Linked DNA regions of Saccharomyces cerevisiae S288C. The protein of the gene in region 1 interacts with the protein of each later gene in a pairwise test. Each region holds a gene or a part of one and is shown on either strand. Other genes may lie near its edges.

Evidence for each region.
Region 2: the proteins of MUM2 (region 1) and VIR1 interact in binary tests that used the Saccharomyces cerevisiae proteins (3 or more experiments, as listed by UniProt).

Annotation. Positions count from the first base shown.
Region 1 is NC_001134.8:351,403-355,248, forward strand, and holds MUM2 (Mum2p), read right to left. Parts: upstream 1,892-3,846; coding exon 791-1,891; downstream 1-790. Other genes in the region: MNC1 (Mnc1p), read left to right, coding at 1-53; ubiquitin-specific protease UBP14, read right to left, coding at 2,270-3,846.
Region 2 is NC_001139.9:427,006-432,115, forward strand, and holds VIR1 (Vir1p), read left to right. Parts: upstream 1-1,595; coding exon 1,596-4,325; downstream 4,326-5,110. Other genes in the region: PNC1 (nicotinamidase), read right to left, coding at 292-942; transcription factor MIG1, read right to left, coding at 4,543-5,110. UniProt on the Saccharomyces cerevisiae protein: Component of the MIS complex, a complex that mediates N6-methyladenosine (m6A) methylation of meiotic mRNAs and is required for initiation of meiosis, progression through the meiotic divisions and sporulation.

The DNA.
Region 1 (3,846 bases):
TATGTTGTCTGTGTCTAATTGATCTATGTTGTAGCTGCGCTGGCGGCATGTAAGCTGTGGTTTGCCTTGTAAGCTGTGGTTTGCCTTGTATCATCATGAACGCTTTTCTTCGTGGAGTAGTCTTCCTATATTGTTTCCGGTGGTTACCATCAAGATAATTTACACACACAAAATTTTCCGCTGTACGTTTGCGAGTGGCATAACGAATAATATGTATCCTATCATTTCAATGAATCACAGCTGAGCACATTTGAATTTTATTGTTAAATGGAATGCCGTTAAATGTATTATGTAATATCCATAAAAGTTCACACTGATTGTTCACTTTTATGAACCTCTAGGATTAAAAGTACGTCTTTGTTAATGAAGCCAGCAAAAAATGGAGAACATCAGGAACAAAGCGGCATAGCTTTGATCTTGCCTTGATGCTTCTAAAAAAATATATACGTTTGTAAGTATATACTCCAATTTTCAATAGTATTTTAATGAATAATTTTTATAAATAGAGGTAAGAGATTAGACACGTTATCTGGAGGTAATAACTAAGTAAATAAATAACAGCTACGTTGCTCTTTTTGGAAAAAGCATAAAACTCAGCCATCTAAGACAACATACTTAAAAAAGTAATAGTCTTTGATACATTCCTCGTGTAGGACAAAAGCAAAAATTCTCTTCCGTTTATTTTTCATGAAAAAAGCTTGTATCATATACACATATCTATATATTTGCATATTATTCTTTTTCGTTTTTTAGAATTAGCCATATGTTCTCGATAATGAGTAAACCTCTTTCAATTAGCAACGTCCTCCTTTGAAGACTCCTTTGAAGCCAAATGGGCTTCCAAAGATGCGATTTTTTCTCTTAATTCTAGATTTTCTTTTTTGGCCAACTGCAGTTCAATTTGGGTCTCTTTTGATCTGCCATATGCTAACATCTTGGCCATTTCTTTGTTCTCGTTTGTTAAGTTTTCTAATCTTACCACCATTTTGTGAGCAATCGATTCTGCATCATACCTGCCATACTTAGTCACTGAATTTGTTGGATTTAGCGCCAGTGCAGTTAATATACTTTCCAGATTTTCTTTCGTCTCTGCTAACTCCTTTTCCTTTGCATGCAGTGACGATGACAGTTTTCTGAATATCACTTCCAAGGAAGCTGGCAATTCGAAAGTTTGGGGTATATGGCAGTTTTCCTTCTCATACTTATGCTCATTCTGCTTGTAGTTTAGCCCCTCGTTGAAAATTTTCTTTAGCCTTTGAATTTCGTTCTCGAGTGATTCGATTTGACTTTCCTTTATTTGTAGTTCTACTTCCAATGCTTCCATTCTGTCATCTTTATTTGAATTCATCTCATTGCTGTTGACATTATTCATTGAGAGCGCTGTCACATGATTAAAAGGAACAAATGAATTCTTGAATGCCGTACTATTGATTGAGGTTTTAGCGGTCATATTAGACATTGATGACATCGAGTCATTAGGATTCCCATTAGTATCCTTGTTATTTGTCATATTATTCATTGGATCCAGCCAATAATCATTAGCAGTTGCCCCATTCATGATATTGTTATGATTGAGAGTATTTCTCATAGATGCTTGTGGTACATTCTGGTAATTATAGGTATTCATTGATGGGGGCATGTTGAAATTTGTTGTACTGTTCAAGCTATGTTGACCCGTTAAGGGACTAGCCGACGAACCTTGAGGAAGCATGGAATTATTCATTTTACTCGCCTGACCTAAGGTGTTCATTAATCCCGGCCTGGCATCGTTTCTTTCACCAGATTCGTATAGGGCTTGTTGCTGTGACTGTTGGTGGGGATGAAATGCCAAATTGTTAAAGGACGTTTCCAACGAATGTTGGGGATCATAATCATAAGCCATGTAATTCATTTTTACAACAGTATTCCAAACGAGCCGTGTATGCAAAAAGAATGAGGTCAAATCAAAAGATCAAGTACCAAGCCAGCTGATTCTCTTCTTACTAAGTTTGACTATCGTTTACATTTCTTGCTTGTTGTTTCATCAAACAATGTACTCTTTTCTTGTTTTAAATGATTTTTTAGCGGCGAAGGTAACAGCAGCAAAAAAAAAAAAGAAAAAACATTGCAAAATAGCTAATGGAAATGGATTTATTACTGAAATATGTAGAAATATTTAACTCGATAGATTTGATCATACACATATAATGCAAAATATATATATATATATATATATATATATATATATATATATGTGTGTGTGTGTGTGTGTGTGTGTGTAAACGTTCTTTTAGCATCTTGTATAGAAATAAATATAACCATTTTTTTTCATATCTTCAATGCTGTCGGCAGCAACTAGTTTCTCATCGTTATAAAGAACCCACTTCCATTTGTCTGCCACTAGTTTACGAATAAAAACAACATAGTGACCAGAATGGACAGAATTTCCCTTATGACAAATAACTGCAGTTAAAGCGTACGGTTTAGCGGTCGAATATCCAAGATCCTTTTTTTGTTGCTGTTCTTCATTTGGCACTTCAGGTTCGGGAAATGTTCCATCATCATCCATGTTGTTAAATACCCATTCAACACTACGATTAACATCTCCGTTGTTGAGTATCAAGGCTTTACGACATAAGTTGGGATTTAGTCCCATGGATAACATTGAAGTCAATGATACCTCATCCACTTCTCTCTTATCTTTCTTGGGGACATTAGGAGGCGGGACAAAGGGATCATTTAAATCAGGGTCATCCATATGCTGGAATAGCCAATTCATAGCGCTCTCAGCGTCTTGGTTTCCGGTGTTAAATAGGGCGCGCACGCTAGCATTTTGAGTAAAGCCCATTTCAATTAATTGAGAAATACTGCATTGGTTTGGCGTAAAAGAGCTACGGTTTTCGTCCTCATCAGGCAATAAGTTTTCAGTTTGAGGATCAAATCCTTGTGATAAATAAGACGAAACATCTAGCATATCATCCCTGTCTATTAAACCTGGTAAAGAAAGCTCATTACTTGTCTTAACAGGAATCCAGTTCTGTAATCTAATCCTTATTGGGTTCAAAATAAGTGTTTGAGGAAGAGATTTGAAACCAGGTTTTTTATTTGCGGTAACCTTTTCCTTACAATTAGCACATTTAAATTCAATCGTCTGCCCTTCAAAATACGCCTTGATTCTCTCTAACATATCTTGAGGTTCATCATTCTCCTCTAAGGGAATCTGTATAGCCTCTGTGGGTTCATAAGAATATTTAACCTTCCCGCAAATGTTACATTGGAGCCTATCCTCCATCATAAATCTAACTAAATCGTTGGGATTTGGAATACCTGAAGAACTACTTGAAAAAAATTTCTTGTCTAACAAGTCTAAAAGGAAGGTTAGAAATTCCATCGCATCCTGTTGTCTATTGGAACTGAATTCCTGATGATTTTGCCCAATGCATTTCTTGAAAGTAGTAGGTTTGATACCATTTGGATATAGTTCGGGTTCACATTTCATGGCATTGAGTAGCTTGATCCATTGGCACTTTAAATTATTGTCCGGATATACAACATCCAGTGGAAATTTACTTCCTAGAAAATCCAAGGACCAATTCGGGACGCCACCATTCACCAAGCTTTGTATAACCGAATTTAAGTAACAGGAATTACCCAAATTGATCAGACCACAGCCATAATTCTTACTAGCGGATAATTTTTCAAATTCTTTACCGCTAGAATCGACCATTCTAAATTGCCAATTTTCGTTCTGTTCCACTTGTAATTGAACTAGAGTCTTTTCATCCGCAATCTTTTCTTGTATGTTAATTCCGTATATTTGTAGTGCACTGCCTAAATTAACATTATCTGGAAATCTAGTTTCGTCGT
Region 2 (5,110 bases), on another chromosome or scaffold:
ACTACCTTAATGCAGAAGTTTTGACGTTGCTGTCCCTGCAACGTGAAAAGTCCAAAAAGGCGCGTTTAGTTGAGGCCCAGCCAAATCTTTTCGCGGTGGGCCGGCCAAATAGTTTAAGCAATTTACCCAAAAAAGAATAAAGAGAGGCGTAAAGACGTTAGTTAATATTTTATTATTCCTTCTCCATATGTCGGAATTCGGTGTACATACATATATATAGATATTGTTATATAGATTTGTGCATTTGCAAGCCACCCTAGTTCATCAGGTTGAAGAAGTATTATTCAGCTCTTATTTATCCACGACATTGATGTTGTGGGCCTTCAACTCTTCCTTAACCTTATTGATGACTTCGGGATCATCGCTGATGGGTCTTGTGTAATCCAGCAGGACAGTGGTCTTATAACCTAGTTCTGCAGCGGAAATGGCGGTGGCTTTGACACAATACTCCAAAGCTACACCGACAATGTAAACCTCGTCTGTATGATGCTTTTCTAAGTACTTGTTCATGTCGGTCTTATGGAAGTTCCAGATGTCGTGGAAGGCGGAGTAGTATTCACGGTCAGTCAAGAAACCCTTGTCGACAATCTTAATATGCTTAGTGACCACTTGGTCCATTATTTGGTCAACCAATTGACTACCCCAGGTGTTTTTCACACAGTGTACGGGCCACAAAATACCCTCTTGCGTGGAATCATCGCCTGGCCTTGGAGAGTGGTAGGTGTATGTTGAATAGGGTTCTTTATCTTTATGGTTCTTTGCGAACGAAATATGTCTGGAAGGGTGCCAATCTCTGGTGACCACAATCCTGTGCCAGTCTCTATCAGCATCTTGCATCAAATCCGAGATAGGATTGATTAATTCCTCACCTTTTGGAACAGTCAAGGAACCTAAAGGTGAAATAAAATCATTTTGCATATCAACAACAATTAAAGTCTTCATTTTTGTACTGTATTTTATTCTTTCTAACAAAGATATAGATAATCGTAAAAGAAAGTTTTGTTTGAAGGTTTCCTCACCTATTGCATCCAACCAGGTACCAGTTAAGAGTACATTGTATATGAAAATATATATATGAGTAATATATATATATATAGTTTTATTAATAACTATTAGCACATCATAATCGTATCTGGAGACACATACATAGTGGGCCAAACGGAAACCCCTGCCCCTTGAAGAACTTTTTTTTCATAATTCACTTTTCCAGTACGTAACACCACGCGGCGCCCCTTTGTGGGGCCTGCCCCTTTTTTTTTTTCTTTCTTTTTTTTCGGAAACATTCCGCGAGATTTCGGCACGTCCCAAATGATATCGAGCTAACACGTATAAAGCGATAACGTATATAACGACGTATGATTTTAGCAACGGAAGACGTTAACAATGACATATGGATATTTATTTATATATATAATATAAAAATTTCATTACCCTGTGTGCCACCTTGATCCTTGACTTAATATATTTTTTTCTGCTTGGATCTCGGCGGCAGTTTTTTCTGTTTCATATAAGGAGGATCGTAGGGAAAGAGGAAAACAAAAGGCATAATTAACCAATAGCAACAATATAAGCAGTACAGAACCCTCACCACCAGAATGCAGAAGTGTGCTGGCCATGCACCACTGGTGACTGCAGCCTCGCGGGTCTCCCAAGACACCGTAGACGCTCTTTTGCAAGCTATTTTAAAGGCCTACCATAAATTAGCTTCGATCGACAGTCACATTAATGATCCTGTTGAAATAGCCTTCAAGCTCATAAACTCTTTTAAGTATCTGCCAATTTCAGGCTCTTCTGTAAAAGATTTTGAGTCGGAACTGCGGGAGTTAGACGTTTTTTCTCCCCTTTTGCAGTCAGCCGTTACTGCTGCTAATAATAGCAATATCATATGGGACCTTATAGCGGTGTTATTTGCATACATTTCCATCCATAAACAGCTCCATCCTTTGATCCTGCACAATCTGAACATATGGAAGGATTTTATGGCAGATAATGACGAAGAAACGGCGACAACCACGGACGGGGACTCAATGAATTTCGGCGTACTGTCGCTTCTTTCCATTGTTCAAAATTTTGAAGAAATAACGCCAAATCTATTTGAGTTTCTAAAGCTCGGTTTGAGATCCACTTTACTCAAGATATGGGTAGCACAATGGCAAAGATACGATCCTTCGGCAACGAACTTAATCAACGGTGATGAGAAAATTTCTAGCTGGATAACAAAGGATTACCAGGTGGATTTTTTTATCATCACTTCATTAGCATCAACGTCCTCATTAGAAGTTTTGCCATCTCATTATTTTGTGTACAAGATCTCTAAAAGGATCTCTCACTTCCCAAATTTAATTGATCCTAAACTATATCGATCTGCAATTTCTACAATAATGGAAAATGGGATTTCAGACAATGGTGGTGGTGAGAACTCCAGCGACAAAATTGATCCGACTGATTTGTCCTTTCACTTACAAGTTTTAATGGAAGTTATTGACCATCCTGAGTTGAATTATTTGCAGGAAAATCGATTAATTTTGTTGCTCGACATTGCATTAAATTATTTAATCCTGGTTCCTACTCACTGTTTACATTCAAACTTTGGTGAATTGGGCTCTACTCAAAGTTTAGCATCCACTTTAAATATCATTCAGTTCCTTCTATCGAAATTCTTAATCAACATGGGCAGTATTTCGCAATTAATTAATCAATACAACAGGAAATGCATCACTACTAATAACATCAATAATAACAACATTAACAACAATGGCGTTATTAATGGTAGTACTAACACCACTAGTACTACTACTACTACCATCACTAATAACAATAATAATAGCAATAATAGCAGTATTAGTAATAATAACAGAAAAATAGACTGGACGCAATCATATCAAACGAGGTACCAAATTCCATACTGGTTTGAGGACTCAATTTTGCCACCAATTCCGCCTATTTCGAAATCGCTTTTCACTTTTGACAAGAACCTAGACCATGAGTCGGATTCAATTATGATTGTAAATGATGTATTACGCTGTTTGAATTTAACCATTCTTTTAATTTCTAAACTTCTAAGGGATTATGATGACCTGAAGATTAACCCACTAATTCAATCATCAGATGATCACAGTAATGAAGACAATCATGTGATAATAGAACAATACATGCAGCTTTATCTCGTTCCATTATTTACTTCATTATTATTGGCCCAACAATTAAAAGACCGAGGCCAAGAACGAGATGAAGGACATAAAGAGAAAGAGGAAAATATAAATCTCATCGGGTCTTCCTCAGTCAAGAAATTATTTTCTCAACTAATTTTTTTTAGCTCTTTGAAATTGTGTGAAAATTTGGTCATAAAGGAAAAAAATTTAGCACTATATCATTTGATCAAATTCGCGACAAAGGTTTCTCTGGATGATTTGATTTTACAAAAAATATCCATAAACTTATTGAATCATTTGTTCTTCCATCAAATTAGGGATGGAAGTGATGATGATAATTTAATTAAAAAGTTATGTTTAAAAAATCAACTTTCTTTCCAAGCTTTGAAAGATTACATCACATTGTGGAATGACGGTTCTGAAGTTTATAATGCATTTTATAAGGAGCTTTTCTATGAAGAGCAACCAAAGATTAAGCCAATAAAACTAACAACATCTGACTTGCTGAAATTATTCCCTGAGGATGTTCAATTTGTGATATCCACTCCACCAAATACAATAACTTCAGCATCAACAAGCGATAATTGTACATCATCACAATCAGCTGCGCAGAAAAATATTGAAAACTTTACTACGTTATCGAAGTACGATGTCTACTCGTCCACATCTTTCATACCGTCCACGTCGAAAAACACTAACACTAACGTTAGTAAGCAGCAGCAGCAGCCTCAAAACTCTACTCCATGTTCTTCCAACAGGTTTTTGTTCAACAAAAGCAGCCTAATTTCTCAGGAAAGTAATGGTAGCAACAATAACAGCGGCACACAAGGACCTGGTTCCATGAATGAGAGTTATTCTCTTGACAATTCATTCAACACAACCAATACCAATATGACGAGACAACCAACCACCTTAACTAGAGCAACCGATGCTATGACTACGGCACCTACGACACCAATTCCATACAAGAACACTAGTGGAAGCAGCAATAACAATCTATGGATTGAATCGCCCATGACAAATTTCAAGGGTTCCACCATCAGTAAAAGTACTAATAAGAGCAAAATGGTTAATACTGGTAAAAATTATATTTTAGGGGGCCACAATAAAGTTAAAAACAACAGTAGAGCTCAATCAATACATATAGATGACTTTGAAAATGAGAACAATTAATTATCTCTGCGGAAGACTAAGACAATCAAAATATGTATTCTTACTATCATAATTAAATATTTTTATCGTTATTAATTATTATTATTATTACTATTATTATTATTATTATTATTATTATTATTATTATTTATTATTTATTAATTATTAATTGTTAATATTATTAATTCTTGTCTATTGTCTTTTGATTTATCTGCACCGCCAAAAACTTGTCAGCGTATCAGTCCATGTGTGGGAAGGGCAACGGTAAACTTCTTATGGGTGGTAATGTTTCCAGTTCTTGAACTTGTGAATCCGACTGAGAAATGGGGGTTTGTTGGGTGGATATAGCAGTATTAATCATATTCACCCTTGGTGACAATAATAACGGGGTTGTACTTAACGAACTACTGGAAGCCATCATTTGATTTTGATTTTGATTTTGACTTTGGTTTGACGTATTTTGTGATTGCAGTAGGGTATGTTGCTCTTGCTGCTGTTGTTGAACGTTCAGTAATCTGTTGTTCAACTCCTTTTGGAAATCAGGAGATGATGAGGAGAAATGCAAGTGATTTTGGTTCATTACATACCCCAAAGTGTGCAAATTCGTACCACTAGTGGATCTACTTAGCATTGTCGTGGGCGTGGAAGTCTTAGATTTCTTTCTTGATTGCTCTTGCAAATAGTCTTGCTCAAGGTTATCGATACTAGAGTTAGACGGGTCCTTTAGTCCGTCTTCTTCATCCTCACCACCAGTAGTAAAATCAGAGTCAGATTCGTTGGTATTTCTTTGGCCAACCAACAAGTCG